Linked DNA regions of Astyanax mexicanus. The protein of the gene in region 1 interacts with the protein of each later gene in a pairwise test. Links are inferred from orthologs where the notes say so. Each region holds a gene or a part of one and is shown on either strand. Other genes may lie near its edges.

What was found.
Region 2: the proteins of bbln (region 1) and thap11 interact in a two-hybrid assay, tested with the Homo sapiens proteins (2 studies listed by BioGRID and IntAct). The link is inferred for Astyanax mexicanus from reciprocal best matches to the Homo sapiens genes BBLN and THAP11.

The regions. Positions count from the first base shown.
Region 1 is NC_064408.1:8,309,093-8,322,402, reverse strand, and holds bbln (UPF0184 protein C9orf16 homolog), read right to left. Parts: upstream 5,036-13,310; 5' UTR 4,798-5,035; coding exon 4,713-4,797; intron 3,238-4,712; coding exon 2,999-3,237; 3' UTR 1,768-2,998; downstream 1-1,767. Other genes in the region: surf2 (surfeit locus protein 2), read left to right, coding at 6,127-6,201, 7,586-7,737, 8,233-8,336, 9,521-9,727, 10,941-11,077, 11,254-11,343. UniProt on the Homo sapiens protein: Essential for intermediate filament organization in intestinal cells, interacts with intermediate filament and regulates intestinal lumen morphology.
Region 2 is NW_026040053.1:950,524-963,810, forward strand, and holds thap11 (THAP domain-containing protein 11), read left to right. Parts: upstream 1-6,679; 5' UTR 6,680-6,868; coding exon 6,869-7,798; 3' UTR 7,799-9,663; downstream 9,664-13,287. Other genes in the region: trichohyalin, read right to left, coding at 469-605, 2,081-2,165, 2,248-2,389, 3,730-3,847, 5,217-5,317. UniProt on the Homo sapiens protein: Transcription factor, which has both transcriptional activation and repression activities. Also modulates chromatin accessibility.

The DNA.
Region 1 (13,310 bases):
TGTTAAGAGAAACACTAAAGTTCATAACCATTGGCCTCATTCTGCAAAACATATCTATTATAAAGTCCATAAGATACATAATTCAGCAGATTCCCGATTTCTATTTTTAACTGCAAAATTGCTTACAGCTCTGATATAAAAATAATGATCTCACTCCCTTCGTAAAGATAGTTATAAAAACAAATTACTAAAAATAAATACATTTGTTGATACCTTTTTCTTTTACGCCTGCTTTTACAGAAATTTGACTACCCTTGGCGTGAAGGTGCTTCACGCAGCAGCATGGGTACATCAGATGACACTGGTGTTTACTGTATCTACTGTAACTGTAGATTAACCCTTATTTATACACAGGAATGAAAGAAATCATAGGGGAATTTGTTGGGTTTTGGCAAAATACTTGGAAAGGAAATTTACTTAAGTCCCATAATTCACTAAACTGCAATGTAAGACTAAAACTAATTGAACTAAATGTGTACAGTGTAGCAAACACAAACTTTACTTAAGATTCAAATATAGGAAACCCCCCTTTAGACCAGAGCTAACAACCCACAGGCAAAAAAGTCGACTTAAAACACTTTTGTGAATCCAGCACAAAAATGGATTTCCTTTAATTTATTCAGTCCCAGCAGCCACAGCTACATCCTGAGTGTTGTATATGGTACCAGTGGAGCTAACAGACAGCCTTTTTGTAATATTTATCAGGCCAGTGTGTTTTGGAAGCCGTATATTGTACAGCAGAAGCAGCAGTAGCAGATAATACTCATCATACATCTCATCAACATCTAGCTAACCAATGGGTAATCATCATCATTCATAACACGCACACATTCTGGACAAACCTTGAGGAGATAATGATGCTACACAGAGGCAAGCTATTCTGTTTGAGAAGTCCTACCTCCAGGACCACAGCATTAAGGAAATGTGGAAAATTAGAATGAACACCAGAATGGAATGGACATTTCATAATCTATTTTTATTCAACAAACGACAAAAAAAGGAATAGATCAAAAAATATGGTTTTATAGCAGCTGGAAGTACCATGTATGTTTTCCGATGTTTGTTTTTCTGCATTTGGGTCGTTTTAATGTTAATTAAAATATTTGATGATTATCTCTTGGATTTGGATTGTTTTTGTGTTGTACTGTTAAAATTAGAAGAGACACACAATAGGATACAGGACATTACACAAATACACAAACACGCACACACACACTATAAACTATGAGTTGTATATCTAAAGACAAAATACAGTAGGTATTACACACAATGCATTATAGCCTATGGACTTTATCTGGAGATGTGTTGACCAGGAATGACTTAATAATTTAAGTTAAAAAAAAAAAAAAAGACTTACATTTTTTGCATGTACATTTGCATGATTTCAGTGTTCCCCTTAGCTCCAGTCTACAGCTTTAAAGACTCATTAGCTAATGTTGGGCCTTGTCCCAATTACAATACAATGGATACTTATTAGTGTGCAAATCTGTTTGGGTCAAAATCTTCAAATCTGAACAATGAATCCAGTTTCCAGTCCAAATCCTTTCTTCAAGATGGTTATTTTTAAAAGCTATGTATTCCGTGTTTTCATGTGGACAGGAGACAATCAGTATTGTTAATATAGTTAAATCTCAAATACCTTCCCTTTATGCTCCTTCTATAGTAAACTACATAACTGATAAAACTATAGCATTTACACACTGATCTACATATAAATAAATATATATATATATATATATATATATATATATATATATATATATATATATATATATATATATATATATATATATATATATATATATGTTCTAGATTTGTTCCATTACAAATATTTAATGCTCTATTTTGCTTTGTGATTTCTTGACTTGCATAGTACACTAATTAAGAAGTACTGAAGATACAGGTGGCTATAGCTTGATGAAAACTACTAGTGTATGTCAAAAATGTACAATGCCACTGAAAAGTTACCTTATTTCAGTTACTCAGTTTAAAATGTGAAACTCATATTATATAGATGTATTACACACAGACTGAAAACCCAAAAATCAGTGTCTCAGAAATGTTTAATATTATATAAGACCAATTGGTAGTTTTGGCAGTGTAGGCAGTTTTCTAAATCCTGCTGGAAAATAAAAGCTGCACTGCACTGACTTTAGACTTGATATAACACAGTGGAACAACACCAGCAGATGACATGTCTCTCCATTAAACCATCACTGATTGGTGGAAACTTCACACTAGACCTCGAGCAGTTTGGACTGTGTGTCTCTCCACTCTTCCTCCAGACTCTGCTCCATTGATTTACAAATGAAATGTAAAATTTACTGATGATCAGTGATGGTTTGGAGAGACATGTCATCTGCTCAAGTCAGTGTAGTTTTGTTTTCCCACAAAATCTTACAGCACTTCATGCTTCCCTCTGCTGACAACTTTTATAGAGATGTGGATTTCATTTTCCAGCAGTACTTGGCACACTGCCCACACTGCTAAAAGTGTCTTTTATAAATGTTTTAAATTTCTTGAGATGCTGATTTTTGGGTTTTCTTTAGTTTTCATGAGTTTCACATTTTGAACTAAATTACTGAAATAAAGTAACTTTTCATTGATATTCATTTTGAGATTTTTTGAGAAGCACTAATAGACACTGGATTCAAGAACTCTGAACTATGTGCCAGTTCAACATTCAGGACAGGGCTGAGGAACAGTAACAGACATTCTGGACAAGCTAGTTTAAAAAAATAAGAATATGATATTAAATTATATTGCCAGATATGATAAACAGCCTATGCCACTCAGCTGACCTCATCTTACTGCAGACATGGAGCACAGTGCAGACAGACAGACTGCAGGACTGGAGGTGATGAACACTGATCTATATCAGGACCAACATGCTGAGGAATATTGAGGCCAGAGCAGCTCTACAGCATCGCAGGGATTCATCACAGCAGAAGGAGTCTATACTGGACTGGACTGGAATATAATTTCCACTCCACTGTGACTAACTGGAAGGTGAGTCTTCATTAGAGGAAGAAGCAGGAGGAGGTGGTGGAGGAGACGGGGGCTGCTGTTTCTGATCTTTCTGGTCCTTCTGGCTCAGTTGAGCCCGGAATTCCTGCCGGGCCTGCCGGTTGGACTCCAGCAGTTCGTGCAGTTTTCCGTTCAGGGCATCGTTCCTCTCCTCCAGGTCATCCAGACACGAGTTGATCTGGTCCAGCATGGAGTTAATAGCTGCATACTCTTGGTTAATTAAAGAAAAAGTACAATTATTTTTTAATTATAGTGTCAATCTGTTTGCTATTTTATTGGTACATTAATAATACTTTTAAAATAGTAATAATGCTTTTATTTTATAATAGTACTTGTACTGATAATGCAATTGTTTTTTTTTACTTGGTTTCTAAAGTAAGAAAGTTCAAGGCATCATTATTCTTAAAGTAAGCACACTAAACTACGATTCCCACAATGCACTGTAAGAAAAATGGTCACACTCTTTTAAATAGAAATTATTTTGATATATCCACCTAATAAAAGGATTGTAAATTGTGCATAATGATTTGGATCATGTAATTCTTATGCCTAAACACTAATTTTTTTTACTTTAAAATAATTTTTACATCATTTACATTAATTAATTATTCAGAGTAACCTACGTCTGAATCCTGTTACACATCTTATAGTGTGCAAATTAACTGTCCGTGTACTTTGGCACGCAGACACATCACAACATGCAGATCAGACAATCAATAATACCGCCCTCCTGCTGACCTACAACTCTCTGGGTCTCACCACCATCAGAGGCACACTGCTGCTGCTGCAGCTCAGCCAATCAGCTCTCCTTTCTGACCTGCCCCTAAACCCATACCCATCATCACCCAGTGCCCCTCCCAAACTACCCCTCCGATTTTTTTAGCCTTTTTTAATTAATCTGAGCTGAGGGTGAGGTCAGCTAAAATCAAGGGGTTTAGTGCCCCTTTAGGAGGGAAAGAAATTCAAGTAATTAATGCTTGATGAGTTAACTGAAAGCCTGAATTCCAGGTGACTACCTTATAAAATCTGTCATCTAAGCAAGAGGTGCTACTTTGGATAATCTAAAATATAAAACATATTCTGGATTGTTTACCTTTCTTTTACATTTTTTTCATAGTTTAGATGATTTTATTATTAAAATAATAAAAAAACACTACATTTAATTTGTGTCCAAACTTTTGACTTGTACTGTATATTAACACAACATAATAAAATTGTTATTTTCCTCCATTAATGCTATTTAAAAACTGCTCTTATTAATTGCCTTATGAATACATAATAGTTAGACCTTTCCATCTGAACCCTTGCTGGAACCCTAGAGGTCATATATAATATACATATACATATATAATAAACTATTATGAATGAATTAAATGAATTAAATATATGATTATAGATTAAATCTACCCTAAAATATGTTTATTCCTAATTTAAACCCATCATAATGGCCTAGTTAGCTTCATGAACAACTTTTCCGTTCCACCTTAAATCACGCGGCCGTTACCCATACACTGTCTGGTCACTCAGTTCCCTGTTCAGTACAGTACGCACTGAATCTCTTAAGGTGGAACGGAAAAAATCCACCAAGAAGCTATGATCGAAAAAAAAACTGATTTATTCAAGCCCAGAGGTCATAAATGGCTACAGACTCGTGGTTAATGAGATGACAGTGATCATTAACTCACCTTCCTCATTGAATTCATCCTCATCATCAATAATTCCGTCATCTGCTGTCAGGTTAGGGTCTCCGTTTGGTCCGGACATTTTCATCTCACTCAAAATCACCCCAACTTCACCAAAACAGCGCGATTATCAACAGTAAAACAGCCGCAAACTACACACAGCGGATATGAATATAACCCCACAGCACTGCTCTATCTCATCCCGAACGAATACAGTAATTTAAAAGCACAGTTTTAAAATAAAACCTGAATTAAAGTGCTGTTAATGCGCCATAGAGATCCCGCTGCTGCGGCTACTGTATCAGCTGACTGACAACCACCACACTGAGGCCCTTTAACTGCCTGTCGAAAATAAAATAAAATAAAATAATAAAATACAATAAAATAAAATAAGAAGGGGGGTTACAAATAATTTACTATCTACTGTGACATTATTTAACCTAAACTAAATTACTATGCAACTATTTTAGCTTTGACATATTTATTTATTTTTTTATGCATTTTTTTTAATTATTATGAATTTATTATGAATGAAATGGCATACAGTTGTACCCAAAAATGTATTTAAAAATATTTAAATAAATAATTAATATTAATGTGTTGATATATACTTTTATTATATTATGTCTACAGTGTAATTATTATTTTATTATACTTTTTATTTCGTGACAATTGTACTATTGTTTTATTTTTATTTTTATTTTTATTATTATTATTTATGTAATAAAATGTTTGTCTAACATCACTTCTTATTATATATTGTCTACAGTGTGATTATAATGATTATTTTATTACTCTTTTTTATTTTCGTAATAATTGTACTATTATTTTAATCCATATTAAATGTTTTATTTCTTTTATTTATGAAACTTCCTTAATTTAACGATTCAGTTTTATATATTTTTATTATTATTTATGACACATACTGTGATTTTTTTATCATTATTGTTTATTTTTATTGTTTTGTTTGTATTACGTATAATAAAAATACATATATAACGATAGTAAGAATATTTTTTTATTATATAATTATCAAAGAAACACCAAAACAGCATCATGTGTTGTGTAATCTTTATTAATCTTTATTACAAAATCTTTATTAGCCACGACTACATGGGCTTTTATTTTGTATTGTTTTATTTTATTTAGGCGCTCTGCAGGTTGCCTTTCTGCCTGGAGGACCCTCAAAAAGCAGCATGGCCGCTCAGATCACACAGTAAATAATACACAGCAGCAGAAAGTTATCAGATCTAGCTGTGTGTTAATAATCTCTGTAGATTAATAATCTGCTGCAGGTACAGAGCTGCTGATCTGTGAACTGGTTTAGAATATCAGTATGAAAATCAGATCAGTGAACTGAAACAAACAGCTGGTTTATTTCCACACGTGGAGGATCTTCAGCTTCAGATCTACAGAGATGGATGAGCTTTCAGCTGAGCTCAGGAAATTTCTCCAGAACCAGCCTTTTCTGGAGCTCACTGATGGCAAGAAGGTGCTTTAATACTTCTTAATATATGACATTTATAGATGTGTGTGTTCTTTATTTGTCCTGGGTATAATATGTATAGGCTCAATCTTGCATGTAAACTTTTCTAGATGTTGGTGCTGCTTATATACTCCATGAGAACTTCTTACAATAAAGCCTTTATTCTTCATTACATGTGTTCGACAAATTGTTGGAATTAGGTTTGCATCGATGTGGGAATTCTGGGCCAATGCCAATATCAGATATTAGGGGTCTAAGAAAATATTAATTTGATATATATCAAATAATCGCAATATTTTGTTTTGCAATACTGTATTAATTTAAAAAAATAATTATTAGCTTAGATGTCAAGATTGGGGTCAGAAGTGGTTCATTTTGTGTGGTGATTAAACCGCGACCACTAGATGGCAGTGTTGTACAGTTAGATCTATTCACTGTTCTGACTGGATTTAAAAAAAAGTTAATTATTCTTTTATTGAGATTTTATAATTGTGTTTTTATACTATTACAATTTGAAAGAATTCCAATATATTGAATGGTGACCCCTGTATCATGATTTGTATTGTATTGGTAAGTTTTTGCAAATACACACAGCTCTATCAGATATTACATATGTAAGTTATATAGTTACAATACCAGTGAAACGTTTTGACACACCTAATCTCATTCAATGTGTGTTTTTTCTTTTTTTTTATGTTTTTTTTTTTTTTGCATTGTAAATTTAATATTAAAGACTATATTAAAGATATACAGGAATACATTCTGAGTAATTTAGTAAACAAAAAGTGTTAAACAAACCAGAATATGTTTTAGAAGTAGCTCCTACATAGCTTATAAGTAGCTTCTAATCTCCTAAATGGTATTTTAATCTCAGTGTCTTCATGAGGGAGAGTCACCTGGAATAGTTTTCTCAGCGTCTTGAAGGAAGGAGTTTCTGGAGGTGCTGAACAATAGTTGCTGCTGGTTTTTCTTCATGCTGTGAAGCTGCAGCTCATCCCAATTAAACCACCTCAAATCACCATCTCAGTTCATCAGGTTTAGATCAGGGGATTAATGTGGAGGATTAACACTTTTTTACTGTTTACTACAGAATTCTATACAGTAAGTGTCCCTTAATTGTTTTCATGTCTTTAATATTAATCTACAATATAGAAATTGCTTTATATAAGTAAATTAAGCAAACAGTGACTGAGAAGGTGTGTCTAAACCTTGGACTGCTACTGTATCTGCAAACTTATCATTTATTTACCTTATTTTTAGGGGCATGGCAAAAGACACAGGACACAATACTGGTTCCTGTCCCATGACATATGGCATGTCAGTCAGTATACTGGCCTTTAAGGGATTATGTGACAAGTCTAGTCTAATCAAAACTGTTCTCCGCTTTCAGGTCAAGTGCACTTTGAATGGACACGAGTTTCCCTGCAACCTTACAGAGCTGCAACATTTCATATCTGGAAATAAATACAAGAAACTGTCTGCCAATGCTGAATTCAATTACAGCCAGTATGAACCACATCTGGTCCCCAGTACCAAACAACCGTAAGTCCAGTCACTGCTAATATCTGCAGGTTTCTTATAGTTTTTGTGTGTTCTAAATATCATTAGAAATCTTATCAGATATGTTTTTTTTTATATATATATAAATAGGCCCGAATCCATATTACAATTTTTGTACCCTATTTTTTGGACATAAGGCGCACAAGATTATAAGGCAGATAATGCAACACTAGTAAGGAACAGGGGTACAGCAGCATTAGCATTAGCAATAACACTACACTGAGGAACCCTGAGTGTTCCAGTAAGCCTGGAAGATATTAGCTAGCGGTTTGTCCCAGGTAGCACTTAGCCCAGTTAGCAACTAATGCTAATGCTGCTTCAGCCTTGAATCTTGGTGCCGGAAAGATAAACTGAGGCTAAGGCGAACATGATTTTATTATTGTTTATTTATATTCTGACCTCTTATTTAAGGGCTTGATTATAATATCTTGTTAGCTTAGCTGTATTAGCTAACATTCAAAGTTTCTTTCACTACAGAAATCACCTTTTTTGCAAGCTGACCCTGAGACACCTCAATCGAGTTCCTGAGCACGTTCTACGACACATTAATGGAAAACGCTATAAAAAAGCTCTAGGAGAATGTAAGTACCTCTCTAATAATGACATGAATATTTTATTATTAAGATTTAGGATCTAATTTTAAAGATGTACATCTGAAGAGGATAAAAAATAAGCAAATATCAGGAATTATAGATTTATTGGAGTCACGGAATAGTAGTTTGGTATTGGTAGTTTCACAAAATTTAACATTCAGAATTCTTCAACGCAGGTATTCCTATTTAATTTAATTCCTTTCTAAGTATTAGGGGTGTCGCGATTTTGATTTTTCATCGAAATCGATCGAAATTATGTCATGGTCTCGAGCATCGAAGTCAAAAAGCGGATCGATGATCCCTCCCGCAAATGGCGCAGCACACTGTAGCTCAAAGAGCAGCTCTTTCTCCAGAGAATTTAGACATTCTCATCTTCTTAAAGAAAAACTTGAAAATATAAAAATAACAGTTGTTTTGTCTAGCCTGAAATATGTTAATAGTTTTGGTACCTTAAGGAGCATCTTTCTCTCAGATGAAGTTAATAATGTATCTTTGTTAAAGAAAAAAACTTGTCATTCTCAGGAACCGAAAAAGTCTTAAAGTCTTATTTCTCATGTTTAACTGTAACAGTAGGATAGAGTTCAGTTTGTTAAGGCTTTAATTGTTCTATTATTTTATACATGACTATTCCTGTATTTTTTTATTATATATTTTATGTTGCACATTGCTGCTACCAAAAAAAGTCACTAGATGGCATTACAAATATATCTTAATTAAATCATTTAAATTTGACCATTAGTGCCTAATGTGGTGTATTACAGATCACTTGTATCACTTTGCATCACTTATATCAAGCCCACCTTTTGAGATAAGATATTGTAAATTTGATAAATCAAACCAATGAATGACCATAGACTAATCTAAAACTGGCATAGGCCTCTCTGCTGTAAAAAAAAAAAGAAAAAAGAAAATCGAGAATCGAATCGAATCGTGACCCTAAAATCGGAAATAAAAGTTAATCGAGGATTTAGAGAATTGTGACACCCCTACTAAGTAGTGATTTTAGTCTCTTTAAAGGTGTTCTAGGAAGGGTAGGTGCGATTACTGCAGCAATAAAATGGATAACATCTCGTTTTCAGATGCTTGTTAAGGTCTACAAACTCTTTTGGAACACACACACGGTACTCTGTGCTAGACCGGCCATAAATTAATCTAATCTAATCTGGTTTCAGATGAGGAGTGTGTGAAGCAGGGGGTGCAGTTCGTTCCAGCCCGTCTCAGACACAAGAAACAACGCAAGCACACAGATGATGGCATGGAGAGTGCCAGCGAGAAGCAACACAAGCCAAAACAGAAGCAGGACAGTGGAATCTGGGCCCCCAGCTCCAGCGACGAGGAGGGCAGCGACTCAGAGGACAGCATGTCCGACCTCTATCCACGTGAGTGTCCCACACTCCAGCTCTTAAAGCACAAAAACATGTATGCTAAAGTTGATCGCACACTGAATTTAATGCTGAGAAGTCCTCTGAAAATTAAAAAATACTGTTCCTATTGCAGGTATACATGCCAGTGCTCCAGAATTCCCAGTATTGTTCTATTCCTCACCATATCAGCATATCATACTGCATTTTTCAATATTATATTAAATTAAAACCAAAACAAAATCACAAAAATCATGAATACACTATATTGCTAAAGTACTGTATTTTTGCACTATAAGGCGCACTTAAAAATCCATTAATTTTCCCCTAAAATCATCAGTGCACCTAAAAATCTGGTGTGCCTTATTTATGAATTTTATCAGTCAGTTTTTAAGAAGCAGTAGAGCCAATCTGCTAAAGTACAGCGTTATACAGGAGTTTCAGTTTAGTTCTCAATCAGTGTAAACATGGATCAGTATTAGAATGGATCAGTATTAGCATTATCCGCTAACCACAGCGCTAGCTTTTTCTCCGTTCAGAGGTGAATATTATCAGACTGCAGTCTGCTGCTAACCCCGGTTAACACTGCTGGAGCAGCATTAGCATTAGCCGTTAAGCGCTAGCTCTAGCTCTTTCGCTGTTCAGAGACGAGCATACTGGACTTTAGCCTGCATTTTTACCATGTTAAAACAAGCCACATGGGACGAACTTTTAGCTGATGTCACCCTGGCTTACTGGAACAGTCAGGGTTTCTCTGTATGGTGCTGGTGGTTAGCCTCTAATGCTAATGCTGCTTCACCCAGCCTTCATGGAAATCTGGAAATCTAACCTTTCTGAAATAAATGGTAAACGGTTTACTCACCCAAATAAACAGTTTTCACAAGAAAAAACCTTACTATTGTCATACTTATAATCCTACATCCAATACATTGTATTGCACTTGGTTTTATAAACCTGTGGCCATAGAGTTTAGTTTCAGTGATGGGTAAATACTTCTGGCAATATAGTCTATATGACCACTTTAAAAGAAGCTGCTCAGCTCACTACAAATGCTAATGACCATTTTCTTATTTATAACGGGTGCCTAGCATACATATATGTATTCATATACGATATAAATATTTATCCCACTGTTCCATATGGTTGGCGTTAATTTATATACTGAATTCTGGCACATCTAGGCCAATTACTGCAGATTTAAGATTATGTTCTCACTTTCTGTTCCCCACAGCCACATTGTTTACTCTAAAGGAGCCAGAGGAGCAAGAAAAAATGGAGGAAGATGAAGACAATTTCCTGACAGATGAGGATGATGAAATGGAGATTTCTGAAAAAGATGAAAAACAAGCAAAACAGAAACGCAAAAAGGTCTGTTAGCATTTAGGAAGAATGTAATACAATTTAGACCTTGAGATTTAACTGTGAAAGTATGAGGTTAAAAATATTTCAAATGTATAACTTGTTGTAAATAAAGGTTGTACAAGGTAATATACTTTTATTATATTTTAAATATAATTTCTGACAGTGTTGCACTTCTTTTGCAGGTCCAGTCTGCTGGTTTTACCAAGAAATTGAAGAACAACAGGAAAAAGAGAGGTTTTAAGCCTGCTGGCAAAGTTAAAAAAGCTAAATAAAGTTCTGTGTGCATTAACCCTGACTCCACCTTTCTGACTATGATTCTGAATATGTCTCATTCACATTCGCATATTACTGCTGATATCTGTGAAAAGAAGCCAAATCAGTATTATGAAGGATTAACTGTCTTCATGATGTCTACAGGTGCATTAAAAAAATAATAATTATCTATCTAAGTGGTCTATTTTAAGTGTTTATTTCTTTTATTTCTTTTATTGTTGACTATTACAGCCAATAAAACCCCAAAATCAGTGTCTCAGAAAATTATAATCTTATATAAGACCAATTGATACTTTTGGCAGTATGGGCAGTGTGCCAAGTCCTGCTGGAAAATGAAATTCGCATCTCCATGAAAGTTGTCAGCAGAGGGAAGCATGAAGTGCTGTAAGATTTTCTGGGAAAACACTGCACTGACTTTGGGCTTGATGTAACACAGTGGACATGGTTTGGAGAAACATGTCATCTGCTGATGTTGGTCCACTGTGTCATATCTCATTTCTGCCGAAAAAGGGTGTCCTTCACTAAGTTATAATTACACAATGCTAAGTTATAATTACGAGATGCAAATTACAACTTGGTATCACATAATTATGACTTAGTTTGACTTAGCAGTAGGTCGAAATGGGATTCTATACCACTGAGAAACACTGCTGCCTCTTTAAATTTAAAAGAAGATATATTAAGGACTGCTTCCTAAAATTTAAAGGAAGATATTAAGGACTGCTGCTTTAAATTTAAAAGAGAAATATTAGGCACTGCTGCTTTAAATTTTAAGTACATACATTAAGGACCTTCTACGGTGCATACTGCCTTCCGCTTGATGCGGGCTGGGATAGGCTCCAGGAACCTTCCACCCCCGTGACCTTGAAGGATAAACCGATTGTGACGATGTATGGATGGATATTAGGGACTGCTGCTTTAAATTTAAACAAAGCAATATTTAGGACTGCTGCTTTAAATCTAAAATAAGAAATATATAGGACTGCTGCTTAAATTTAAAAGTGAAATATTAAGGACTGCTGCTTTACATTTAAAAGAGAAATATTAAGGACTGCTGCTTTAAATTTAAAAGAGAAATATTAAGGACTGCAGCTTTAAATGTAAAAAGGAAGTATTAAGGACTACTGCTTTAAATTTAAAAGAGAAATATTAAGGACTGCTGCTTTAAATTTAAAAGAGAAATATTAAGGACTACAGCTGTAAATGTAAAAAGGAAGTATTAAGGACTACTGCTTTAAATTTAAAAGAGAAATATTAAGGACTGCTGCTTTTAAATTTAAAAGAGAAATATTAAGGACTGCTGCTTTAAATTTAAAAGAGAAATATTAAGGACTGCAGCTTTAAATGTAAAAAGGAAGTATTAAGGACTACTGCTTTAAATTTAAAAGAGAAATATTAAGGACTGCTGCTTTAAATTTAAAAGAGAAATATTAAGGACTACAGCTGTAAATGTAAAAAGGAAGTATTAAGGACTACTGCTTTTAAATTTAAAAGAGAAATATTAAGGACTGCTGCTTTAAAATGAAAAGAGAAATACTAAGGACTACAGCTTTAAAAAAAAAAAAATTAAAGACTGCAGCTTTTAATTAAAAAGAAGTATATTAAGGACTCTAGCTTTTAAAATTAAAAGAGAAATATTAAGTACTTCTGCTTTTAAATTTAAAAGAAGAATGTTAAGGACTGCTTCTTTAAATCAGTGAGGAGGGGAGTGGGGGTCCGTCGCAGGTGTATGACGTCACCGCAGCGGGAGTGTGTGTTTATGTGGCTCAGGGTGCTGAAGAGGCTGAAATTCAGTATTTATATAAAATACACCGCGTTTACAGGTAACCATTCGCTCTCTCTCTCTCTCTCTCTCTCTCTCTCTCTCCCTCTGTGTGTGTGTAGCTATAGAGCCGCTGCAGTAGCACAGTGCAGCACTGAAGCTGTAGCTGATGAACACCCTGATATAAAATTGAAAACAAAAAAA
Region 2 (13,287 bases), on another chromosome or scaffold:
ACTCCCCTAAAACTCCCCTAAAACTCCCCTAAACTCTGGATACGAGGTGAAAATAAATTTGAATATTTACAGTATAGTATTTTAGGTTAATTTATAGTGTTTATGGAACTATTTTAAATATTTAGATTTGTAAAGTTGTTAGTGTATTTTTTTAAGGTCTATTGTTTAAATTCTTCAGCTGTTTTTTTTCTGATAATAAAGTTTGATTTTTATATATATTGTATGATGGTTTGGTACAAAGTAAATCCAATAATAATGAAAACCTTCATTTAAATCCTTGAGGTTTTATATTATATAAACTCCTGACAGTAAAGTAAATCACAAACCTATATTTAAGCCCAGTCGATTAAAAAATAAAATAATAATAAAAAAAACTGTGATAAACATTTTAGGTGATTCCGCCCAGCACTAAGTGTGATAGTTGTGAAACATTGTGCACGGTTGTATTTTCACACAGTCAGACGGTACCTGACCGCTGCTCCAGTTGTCTCTCAAAAGCAGAAATGTTGAAAGTGGGCGGCGGCCTCCTGCGACTCATCCCTCCAATCAGATTACTCAGGGGTTCGGTCACCAGGTCCGGCAGCTCCAGTCCAGACGCCCCCTCACTTTAACAGCCCAGAAAACCAGATTACAGACTGAACTTGCAAAAGTATTCACACCCCTCAAACTTTTCACATTTCGTCTCCTTACCACAAAACTTAAATATGTCTTAAGATTTTAAGTGATCAATTAACACAAAGTAGCACAAAACTGTGATATGGAATAAAAATGATACACGTTTTTCACAATTTTACTCAAATAAAAATCTGAAAAGTGAGACATGAAAAGTATTCATCCCCTTTTCAATCAACTGCCTTCAGAAGTCACTTAATGGGTTAATAGAGTTAATCCAGCTGTGCGTAATTTAGTCTCAGTATAAATACAGCTGTTCTGTGAAGACCTCAGTGTTTTATTAGTCCAAGACCAAGAAGGAAGAACTCAGCAGACAGGTCAGAGATAAAGTTGTGGAGATAAAGAAATTTAAAGTAGCATTAGATTATAAAAACATCTCCCAAACTTTAATCATCCCAAGCAGCTCTGTTCCATCAATCCATCATCCAAAAATTTACCTTATTCTACACCTGTTTCTACAAACCTACCAACCATCCACCCAAACTAACAGATCCAGCAAGGAGAGCACTGATCAGAGAAGCAGCCGAGACCCATGATCACTCTGGAGGAGCTGCAGAGATCCACAGATCAGGAGAATCTGTTCACAGAACAACTATAAGTCCTGCTCTCCACAAATCTGATCTTTATGGAAGAGTGGAAGAAGAAAAACATTGTTGAAAGAAAGACGTAAGAAGTTCTGTTTGCAGTTTGTAGCTACAAGTCATGTAGAAACACAGTAAACATGTGGAGGAAGATTCTGTTCTCAGATCAGAACAACGTTAAGCTTTTTGGCCCAAATGCAAAGCACTGTATGTGGAGGAAAAGTAACACTGCTCATCACCCTGAACACACCCTCCATCTGCACTGTGAAACATGGTGGAGGCAGCATCATGCTGTGGGGATGAGCTTTTCTTCAGCAGGGACAGATTTAGGAAGCTGGTCAGAGTTGATGGAGGGAAGATGGATGAAGATAAATAAATACAGAACAATCCTGGAAGAAGAAAAGCTGTTGGAGGCTGTAAAAGACTGGAGATCTTCCAGCAAGACGATGACCCTAAACATACAGCCAGAGCTACAGTGGAGCTATAATGATTTAGATCAGAGAATATTCATGTGTTAGAATGATCCAGTTAAAGTCCTAAAGACCTAAATCTCATTGATCTTCTGTGGAGAGACATGAAAACTGCTGTTCACAGACACAACGCTCTCCATCCAACCTGACTGATCTTCAGCTGATTTATAAAGAAGAATGGAGGAAAAATCTCTAGATAAAGTCTCTAGATGATCAAAGCGGGTAGAAATAAACCCTAAAAGACCTGAAGCTGTAACTTCAGAGAAAAGTGTCTCTACTAAGTGTAGAAATAGGGGGGCTGAATACTTTTGCACGTCACTGAGTTATACATGTGGGGAGTTGAGAATGAGGACGTACCTCAGTCGGCTGCTGGTTTCTGGGAGCGGCTGGTTGGTGTCGGGCGGCGCCGGCTGACCGGAGAGCAGCAGAGACGCCTCGGCCTCTGAAACACAGATCCCAGAACAGTTAAATACCGTTAAACTGAGATTAACAGTAATCACACTGCTGCCGGACACGACACTGACCGGTCTGGATGATGCCCCGGAGCAGACCACGGGGTGTGATGTCCTCATCATACAGAGAAGAGGAGGACACGACCGGAGTCTTCACCGCCCGACTCTGAGACCGCCTCCTTTTAGTGGGAGGAGCCGGAGACTGAGAACTGCTCTACACAGCAAACAGATTCATTACATCACCATTAATAACAGTAACACCAACTATAAACACTTATTAACACTTATTAACACTTATTAACACAATAATCTGAAACTTAAACAGTTTTATTAACGATATAAACACCGAGTCAGTTACATATTACATATTACAACACTTACTTTTAATAACAGAATAATGTTTTCATTTATCATCATCCTTTTTTATTCATCTGACATCACTAATTAACATCAGCTGTGATGGGCAATATGCCAAAAATGTAAATTACAATATTTAGAAACACTCTAACGATAGGGATTAGTGCAATATTGCTAAAAACTGTAATTCTTTTTGCAACATATATTAAAATATAACAAAATAGTCATTTTTTAGTAAATATTATATTGTCTGTTTGTGAAATTGAACATTAGGGAGCAGAATAAATATATTGCAGTAAGTTTCATTGCTCAGGTTCACAGAATATAAAACATACTTCACAAAGTAAATAAATTAATGAAAAAAAAAACATATCAAGGTTTATATCATTATATAAATAAAATAAATAATTATACATATTATGTATAGTCCTTGATCACATGACAATAAGAGCTTAGCACACAGTAAACAGCACTGTGTGAATCTGTAGTCTAATTATGGATAAGAACATTATTCTGAGATTTAAGTTCAGGGAGAAATATTTAACCTTTATTCAAGTGAACAAACCCTGCCATTATTTACATTTTAAAAGATAATTAATCAGAGTGCATCGAATTCATTCCAGTGCGCTAAACTGTAAAACAATCCGAATCCATTCAGAAAACGTAGAATTGTTACCTAATTTCACCAGAAGTGTGCACAAGGTGTGTGCAAGACTGTAGAAAAATGTATGATATTGGGTAAAAAAATGCACATAAATTAAAGCATTTTTATATCACTGCACAAATTAAACAACCTAAAATATATATTTATTTAAATACAATGTGACTATTACATATAAAAACACTGTAATGATAATGCTGAAACGATATATTGTGTATATTTTTGCATATATTGCGATATACAGACCAAATGGACAAATAGCGTCAGAATCCTAATAACTGCCAGTAACATCATCATATTCCAAACACAGTGATTTACATTAAAATATGCTGCACTTTCAGCCAATTCATTATAACTATATTAGAATTAATATTCTGCAGATGGGGAGTTCTTCGGATGCTGAGAATAAACAGAAAAACTCAAAGAAAAGTAAACTGTGTATCACAATAATAACATTTATCAGGATACAATAGAATATTATCACATTAAACTCATATAAACAGTAAATATAAACAGTGAATATATAAGAAGTGTACCTGCTGTAGTTTGTGTTTGAGTTTGTGGCGGAGGACGCTCTGTGGGCTCTCGGCTGGTGGGAGGTTCCTGACTCTGGAGCTCCTCCTCCTGCGGGAGTCGGCCTGAGTCTGAGACACACTGCAGAACCAGGAGCATCACCATCATCACACTTATCACAATAATCACAATAATCATCTCTTAACTTTGACACAGTAAACCGGTCCCGGCTGCGTCCACTCCCCTCACCACTGTGATAAAATAACAGCTATATACTGTGAGTATAGTGAATGTGGTGAATACAGTAAGTATTGGGAATGTGGTGAGTGAGTATAATGATTGTGGTGAATAAAGTGAGCATAGTATATACAGTAAGAATAGTGAATACGGTGAGTATAGTGAATACAGTGAGTATAGTGTATACGGTGAGTATACTGTATACGCTGAGTATAGTGAATCGGTGAGTATAGTGTATACGGTGAGTATAGTGTATACGGTGAGTATAGTGAAAGTGGTGAGTATAGTGTATACGGTGAGTATAGTGAATACGGTGAGTATAGTGAATATGGTGAGTATAGTGTATACGCTGAGTATAGTGTATACGGTGAGTATAGTGAATCGGTGAGTATAGTGTATACGGTGAGTATAGTGTATACGGTGAGTATAGTGTATACGGTGAGTATAGTGTATACGGTGAGTATAGTGTATACGCTGAGTATAGTGAATATGGTGAGTATAGTGTATACGCTGAGTATAGTGTATACGCTGAGTATAGTGTATACGGTGAGTATAGTGTATACGGTGAGTATAGTGTATACGCTGAGTATAGTGAATATGGTGAGTATAGTGTATACGCTGAGTATAGTGTATACGCTGAGTATAGTGTATACGGTGAGTATAGTGTATACGGTGAGTATAGTGTATACGGTGAGTATAGTGTATACGCTGAGTATAGTGTATACGGTGAGTATAGTGTATACGCTGAGTATAGTGAATATGGTGAGTATAGTGTATACGCTGAGTATAGTGTATACGCTGAGTATAGTGTATACGCTGAGTATAGTGTATACGATGAGTATAGTGTATACGCTGAGTATAGTGTATACGCTGAGTATAGTGTATACGGTGAGTATAGTGTATACGGTGAGTATAGTGAATGTGCTCAATGTTACTCAGTGTGTTTCTATTAATGTACAGAAGTGAATTGTGTAGAATAGAACAGACTGGGTGTAGTGTGGGTTTATAATGATCTGAATCTGCTGTAAATAATAATTATAAAATGTTATTGTTTAATATCACAAATAAATAAGAGCAATATAAAACATGTAACTTATTCTACATTACAGTAAATTACTGCAGTGATCGGAGTTAAAATGAGGAGAATCATTAAATACAGAGTAAAACAGAATTATTACTGAGTTATTATTAAACTCTAATCCAGCGGCTGACCGCTGTTACTCAGATTAATCAGATTAAACTCTAATAAAACAGATCAGAACCGGTTCGGTACCTCCGGGTAACGGGAGAGCGGATCAGCTCCGAACCCAAAACCCTCCTCAGCAGAATCCGAGCCGACACCTCGTCCTCCTCCTGCTGCTCCCCCGAGTCCATTACTCACTAATAACAGCTTCAGTATTACAACTATAATCACTATAATCACTATAATCACTTTAAATCAAACTAACCCGCAGCTTTAGCTTCTGTAGCTACAACAACATTCAAACCTACTACTGATGACGCAATATCCCGCCCAGACCAGCGCGCACAGCGGCATCATGGGAGATGTAGTTTTATGTAGTTTAGTAATCCCGTTTCCGGAGTGTTTTTTCTCACACCGCATGTTTTTACTATTTCAAAGTTCAGTATTAAATAATTATTTTCTGCTTATTTACCCTGGAATACTGTTGCGCTTAAATATGTATATAATTGTTCAAAACATAAATAATTATATATAAATATATATAGAAATAATATAAACAATGAACACAAAGCTTGCAGTTTTTTTTTACACTTTTTTAATAACATTTTAGCAATCAAGTAAAGCTTTTTAAAATAAATGTAACAACTAAGTGTAATATTTATAATATTATTTATACACAGTAATTACAAGATTTTTTTTTTTTGATAAAAAAATTATATATTTAAGGTCTTTAGAGTTGCAATCAGAATGTATGCAAGTGAAACGGTCGCAAATTCAAACCACAAAAAATGTGTGTAATGTTTTAACCACAGTTTTCACAAAGAGTACAAATATTTATCAAAATTTCTTTGTTTTATTATTTTTTAAATACGGAAATGTACAAATCAAGGAGGGGAGCTTTCCAGTTTACACTACTAGTACATTTTCAGCAAATGGAAAAAATAAACAAAACAAGACAATGCTAATTAAACAAGGAAACAATAATTGTACTTTGGGCAAGTTTTACACAATTAAAAAAGCAAAGACTTCAATATTATAGAATGCTTAATATTATAGACGTTGTTCTATTCAATCTCTTAAAATATTCTAGTAAACAACGATTATCCAAAATGATAGCAAGATTAAATCTGAATATCTCTATTCAAGTTATCCATATAGTAAATTATGTCATGTGAGGTATAGTGAGGTATATCAGTACTTTTAATTGACAACCAATTACGGATGTCAGCCCAAAATAGCTTACTTTAATTACTTTTGACAAATAAATATTCTATAGATTCTGTTTCTCCAGCAGCCCGTCTGAAATATGAATATTTTATATATAAGGTTAATAATATATGTGTTTATATTATTATAATATATATATATATATATATTGTTTTCTATTCGGTGCAGCATGTAATACTTTATATTATCGGTATATTTCTGCGTGTTTACGATGTAAGAATGTGTATATGGTCGCTGTGCAGTGAAAAGCACGTATCTCCATTCTTTTATAAAGCTGCTGTTTCTCATTGTACAGAGAGGACGGGGGGTTCTGCGCAGTTCTGCGCCGATTTGACCCGCACCGACTCCGCTGTGGAACAGGAAGTGGTAAGCATTGTGGGAGGTGTAGTTCCGCTTCTAGGCCGCTGCGCTGATCAGAGCGGAGAAGATCCAAACAAACAAAAACATCAAACAAACTTTAAACAGCGGAGATCAAAGGCTTTATTAGTACCGATAGGCGAGTTTCCCGCGCCGCCATGCCGGGCTTCACGTGCTGCGTGCCGGGCTGCTATAATAACTCGCACCGGGACCGCGAGCTGCGCTTCTACACCTTCCCGAAGGACCAGACGCAGCGCGAGATCTGGCTGAAGAACATCTCGCGCGCGGGGGTCAGCGGCTGTTTCAGCACCTTTCAGCCGACCACCGGCCACCGCGTGTGCAGCGTGCACTTCCCCGGCGGCAGGAAGACCTACACCATCCGGGTCCCCACGCTCTTCCCGCTGCGGGGCGTCAACGAGCGCAAGAGCCGCAGGGGCAGGAATAAGAAGCTGTTCGCGGCGCTGCCGGGGTCCGTGCCGGGTGTCGTGACGGGTGCCGTGCCGGGTTCCGTGCCCATCATCACCAGCGTGGTGTCCATCGCCGGGGAGGGAGAAGGTAACGGGGAGACGACCGTGGTGCAAATCGGACAGAACGGGCAGTACATCACGCCGGTGGACCTGACCGCGGCGGGGAACGCTGCTGACCACAGCGAGGATTTTGTAGGCGCCGGTGCCAGTGGCAGGGATGGTGCCGGGTCCTGTGCCGGGGCCGGGTCATGTGCCGGGTCATGTGCCGGATCGACTGCCGCGTTTACGCAGGCCGCCGCAGCTGCCGCTGGAGTCCTCATCGCTGAGCAGTGTGGCGCGGGGCTGTCCGGCGAGGACCACTGCTACTCGCTGACCAACGGCACCACCTCCGCCGAGCTGCTGCGGAAACTGAACGAGCAGCGGGACATCATCGCTCTGATGGAGGTGAAGATGAAGGAGATGAAGAACACCATCCGGCAGCTCCGCATCACCGAGGCGCAGCTACAGGAGGAACTCCGGGAGAGGGACCGCTTACTGTCCGCTGCCTCCACCACCGCCGCCACCGCCAGCTCGTCTTCAACCTCGCCGTCCTCCTCGTCCTCAGTGAGGAAGAAAGTCTGACCCGCTGCGGACGAACCTGAGACCCCTGGGAACACGTTTTTATACGCTGATTTATTTTGTATGATGGTAAACTTTGCCGTGATGTAAAGAAGACAGGAAAATAAAAAAAATAAAAAACAGAAAAAATAAGCAAAATTACGATAAAAGACTCATCGAACGTCGTAAAATAACGCACACCTCTTTACGCCTGTCACTGAAGAGAGGTACTGTGTGGGCGTGGTCATGATATTGTGCTGTCCATCACAGGTGAACAAACGTTTGTTTACGTTGCTATGGCAACACATGGGCACCCCCGCCTTGAGGCAGAGAAGCATAACTGTGTGTGTGTGAATATTCGGATAGCTCGCCGGGTTCAGTTGCTCAGACTAGAAGAGACATGCTAATGCTATGTCAGCCTTACGATTGGTAGGGGGTTCTGCTGACATCAGCCTGACCCACTTTTAGCCCCGCTCATTCTTTCTGCATCCAGTGGAGAGTGATAGTGGTGAAATACAGCAGAGATTTATTCGACTTCAGGGGGAATTCATAACAAGTTCTTTGAACACAGAAGAACCAGAGGAGTAAATGAGCCGATTAGAATCAGAACTCTTTAGCTTCCCAGGGGCGAATAAAAGAGAAGAAAAGATAAACTGTGTTTCAGAGCTTCTGAGAGAAAAGTAAAGCTGCAAGGCGACGATTATCTCTGACTGTTGCGCTGGATAATCCAGGTCCAGGCTCTAAAGATCTGCAGGCAGGTGGAACCAAACCCTGGGACGGATTTGAAGCATCTGGACCTGGATTACCCAACTCTAATGTAGCTAATTAGCTAGTTCACCTGTTTGAGGAAGTTCCCTTGTTTTTAGGCTTCTAGCTTTCTTCATTATTAGCTGAGCATCTTGTAGTAGAAAGATACTTTATTAATGCAGCGTTTTCCAGCCCGTCGAGTCCTGCAGTCCCACAGCTCTCTGCACATTTTAGTGTTTATACTGCTTTAAGGTTCTTAGTGCACTAAATATTAACATACTAACTCCTGATGAACAGTGATGAACACTACAGCTGCAGCTAATGATTATTTTGGTAGTTAATTAATCTGAAGAGTATTTTAGTTATTTAGTAATTAGTAGGTAATTGGGACACAGCCTAAGTGCCGCGCGTTGGGCCTCCAGAACCCGGGCTGAGAAACACTGCTGTAAGTAAATGAATTAAAGTTAGGTCATCAATCTGTGTGTGTTGTAGAATCATCACACACTCGCGAGCAGCTCGGACTGGGACTTTTACAACCCAGACATGGAGAATGCGGGTCCGGAAAGTTTAACCCCCCCCCCCCCCCCCCCAACTCCCCCAGGGGTCGAGATTCCAGCAGCATCCCCATGAGGGTTCTGTACAGGAGCCCAACTGTGTGGATACCCCCCCCCCCACCCCCCCCAGTCCAGCCAGATATAATTAACTCTAAACTCTTCCTCCACCTGTTTTTTGGAAATATGAATAAATTTGTGTAGAATGATCAGAATATTTACCTGATATTTAATCCCAGTTCTGATTAAAGAGGATCAGGTTCAGACCTGGGCAGAAGAACATCATCCTGATCTGGATTCCTCTGGACCTGGATTCTCCACACTGAACTTTTCGTTCTTGTTTTATTTGTTTTTTTAAGTGTGTTTAAGTGTGATGTAAAGTGATGATGAGGTTTTGCTCTGGGCTGCAGTTCTCCTGGATCTTCACCTGGATGACGTTGTGTTCGAGTCCAGAACCGGATTTGTTATTATTCACTTTTTTAAATATCTGAGTGGAATTAAGAGAATCTGTTCCAGGATTTTCACCTGTTTGTAGAAAAGACCCGAGAGCTTAAATTAAAAATAAAAATCACAGACTGCTGAGTCTCTTTAGCTGCAGTTTTTGTTATTGTGATGAACAGTATATGTGATATCACATTTCATAAAGAGATTTTTTTTTTTCTGTCGCAGAGCACCTTCACACTAATCAGGTTTAGAATTTAGATAAAAGAACAAACAACACTCTGAACATAAAATATTAATATATAAAACAGTCATCAGTATAACGTTTAACCTCACAAACCCTACTTTTATTATTCATATTTAAATACTAATGCAGAATAACTGAAGTATCTTGTGGAGTCCCACAGGGTTCAGTTGTTGCACCAATTAAACTGAATTATTACAACAGTTTATCATTATTGTATTGCAGCTTTTAATACAGAGTTTAAGGGGTTAAAACAGTGACCATCTGCATATTCCATCATAAAGCGTAGGTCTGTCTCTTATAACTATATATTTTGGGGATGAAAGTGTTGCATAAATTATTGCGTTAAACAATATTTTCCCGATAAATCATAATTTAAGTCACAATATTAATACAATAATGGCATTATAATGCAGTTCAACATTAGCCTGAAAAAGCTAATTGCTATTTATGATGGATATTTAGACGCTGGAATTTGAATGAAATATGTTTAAATATTTTAAATAAATATAAAGTAAATAATAATAGAGTAAACAGTGAGAGACTGACTCATTCTGATTAATTAAACAGAATTAACGGGCTGTCTGTACTTTTTTTTAACAGGCCTAAAAAAGACGGTAATTAATGCTGTTCTCCTGGATAAACAGTGAATAAAGAATACTCAGTTCTGAACAGTAAATTTTATCTACTGCTTACATCATGAAAACATCTTAAATTTGTACCATTTTCCCACTCATTTATACAATATAAACATAGTTATTTTCTGACAGGTCTGTGATGCATGTGGTGATAATTTTGATTAGATCACAGATCTGATCAATAATCACTACTTTAAAATGATCAGTTTAATATTTATAGGTTTGTTTAAGTAAAATCAACATTGTGGTTCATTACAGACAACATTTCTCCCAAATTCCAAATAAAAATATTCTCATTTAGAGCATTTATTTACAGAAAATGAGAAATCTCCACACCTGAATACCATTAAAAACCTCTGGAATATAATCAAGAGGAAGATGGATGATCACAAACCATCAAACCACCAAACTGAACTGCTTGAATTTTTACACCAGGAGTAAAGCAGCATAAAGTTATCCAAAAGCAGTGTGTAAGACTGGTGGAGGAGAACATGATGCCAAGATGCATGAAAATAAAACTGTGATTAAAAACCAGGATTATTCCACCAAATATTGATTATTTCTGAACTCTTAAAACTTTATAAATATGAACTTGTTTTCTTTGCATTATTTGAGGTCTGAAAGTTCTGCATCTTTTTTGTTATTTCAGTCATTTCTCATTTTCTGTAAATAAATGCTCTAAATGAGAATATTTTTATTTGTAATTTGGGAGAAATGTTGTCTGTAGTTTATAGAATAAAACAACAATGTTCATTTTACTCAAACATAAACCTATAAATAGCACAATCAGAGAAACTGATTCAGAAACTGAAATGGTGTCTATTTTTTTACAGATGTTTATATCGCAATATGTATCAATGTTTATTTACAGTGAAATGATTCTTAAACACAATTTCAATATTTTATTATCAGTATTTATTACAGCAAACATTTCATGATTTGTTAAATTTTATTTTCATGACATTGTCCACACTGACACCAGAAATATGGTCCAGATCATGTGACTGTAGGAAAGAACCTCTTTTTGTGGAGTTTAGTAAAAACCATATCATACATTTACGACATTTAATAAGAATTCAGAAATAAATCTATAAATACAAACAGATCAATCAGTTTTAATCAGTTGAAACCCTGCAGTACGGGTTTATCCCGTTTCTGTAAATAAATGTATATTAATGATTAATAAACGTAAATCACACACAGATCCCTCACAGACAAAACCCCGTATCTCCACTCCGGCCGGTGGTAGAGTATTAAAGTCGTAATCGTTTGATGTCCTCACTGCGGAAATCCACCCTGAGCGCCAGGACCTGCCGCACCTCCGCCGGGGTCAGGCGCCACGTCAGAGGGCCCGAGTTCGGCCCCCAGTAATCCAGGATCTCCGACACCTGGAGCCCAGAAGAAGAAGAACAGCAGGATTTTAATTCTGATATAAAAAATAGCAGACTTTTCACTCATTCACTGATCCAACACCTTCTGCTCTGTGTTTCCAATATTACAGTAAATATATTACAGTACATATATTACAGTAAATATATTACAGTAAATATATTACAGTACATATATTACAGTACATATATTACAGTAAATATATTACAGTAAATATATTACAGTAAATATATTACAGTACATATATTACAGTACATATATTACAGTACATATATTACAGTAAATATATTACAGTAAATATATTACAGTACATATATTACAGTAAATATATTACAGTAAATATACGTCCACAAGTGCCAATCTTCAGACCCAATTACAACCTGGAACAATGAGGCTCAAATCTGATTTTTTGCTCAAAGTGGATCAGATCTGATTTTTTTTATGGCTGTGTGAACGTGCCAAATCCGCTTTTTACAAATCAGATTTGAGCAGCAAAAGATGCTCCACATATGAGCTGCTAACTCATCCATTTCCCTTTATAAAGCTACGAGTCTCTCCTCTCTCTAATATGAGGGTTTTTGTTGTTGGTGAAGAAGGAGGCGTTTATACAGGTATCAATGTGCAGCATGTGAGACGCTTCAGGAACAGATTCTGTGTTCACATTACACACAGATACAGATCACTTACATTTACAGTGAACGAGAACCGACAAGATACACAAATCTGATCTGAGCAAAAAATCTGATTTGAGGAAAGCGGCTGATAATGTGAACGTAGCATTTGGACTTAAATAAATGTTCATGTCCTCAGTAATAAAAGGTCTTCAGGTATTTTTGGAAATTACAATAAAAAACTCCTTATTTGAGCAGCGAGTTTTTATTAGCGCAGTAAAACACAAATATTAGAATAAATACAAATAATATTCCTACAGAAAGTGGTGATTCGAGTAACGTAGTGAGTATAGTGATTGTGAATTTAGTAAGTGTAATGATTATGAGTATAGTGAGTGATGGTGTGTGTAGTGATGTAGTAAGTGTAGTAAGTATAGTGATGGTGTGTGTAGTGATTGTGAGTGTAGTGAGTATAGTAAGTATAGTGATGGTGTGTGTGTAGTGATTGTGAGTGTAGTGATTGTGGGTGTAGTGAGTATAGTAAGTATAGTGATGGTGTGTGTGTAGTGATTGTGAGTGTAGTGAGTATAGTAAGTGTAGTGATTGTGAATGTAGTGATTGTGAGTGTAGTGAGTATAGTAAGTGTAGTGATTGTGAGTGTAGTGATTGTGGGTGTAGTGAGTATAGTAAGTATAGTCATAGGCGTAGGAACCGGGGGGGATGGGTGGGACATGTCCCACCCAATATTAGAAACAGGTGGATTTGTCCCCCCCAAAAATGATATCAGTTCGCTCAGGTCAGCTGTACTATTAATGAGGAGACAGACCGGACCAATCACGGAGCTGGTTCAGGTATTAAGTCCCGCCTCTCAGTAGAAACAGCCAATCAGCTT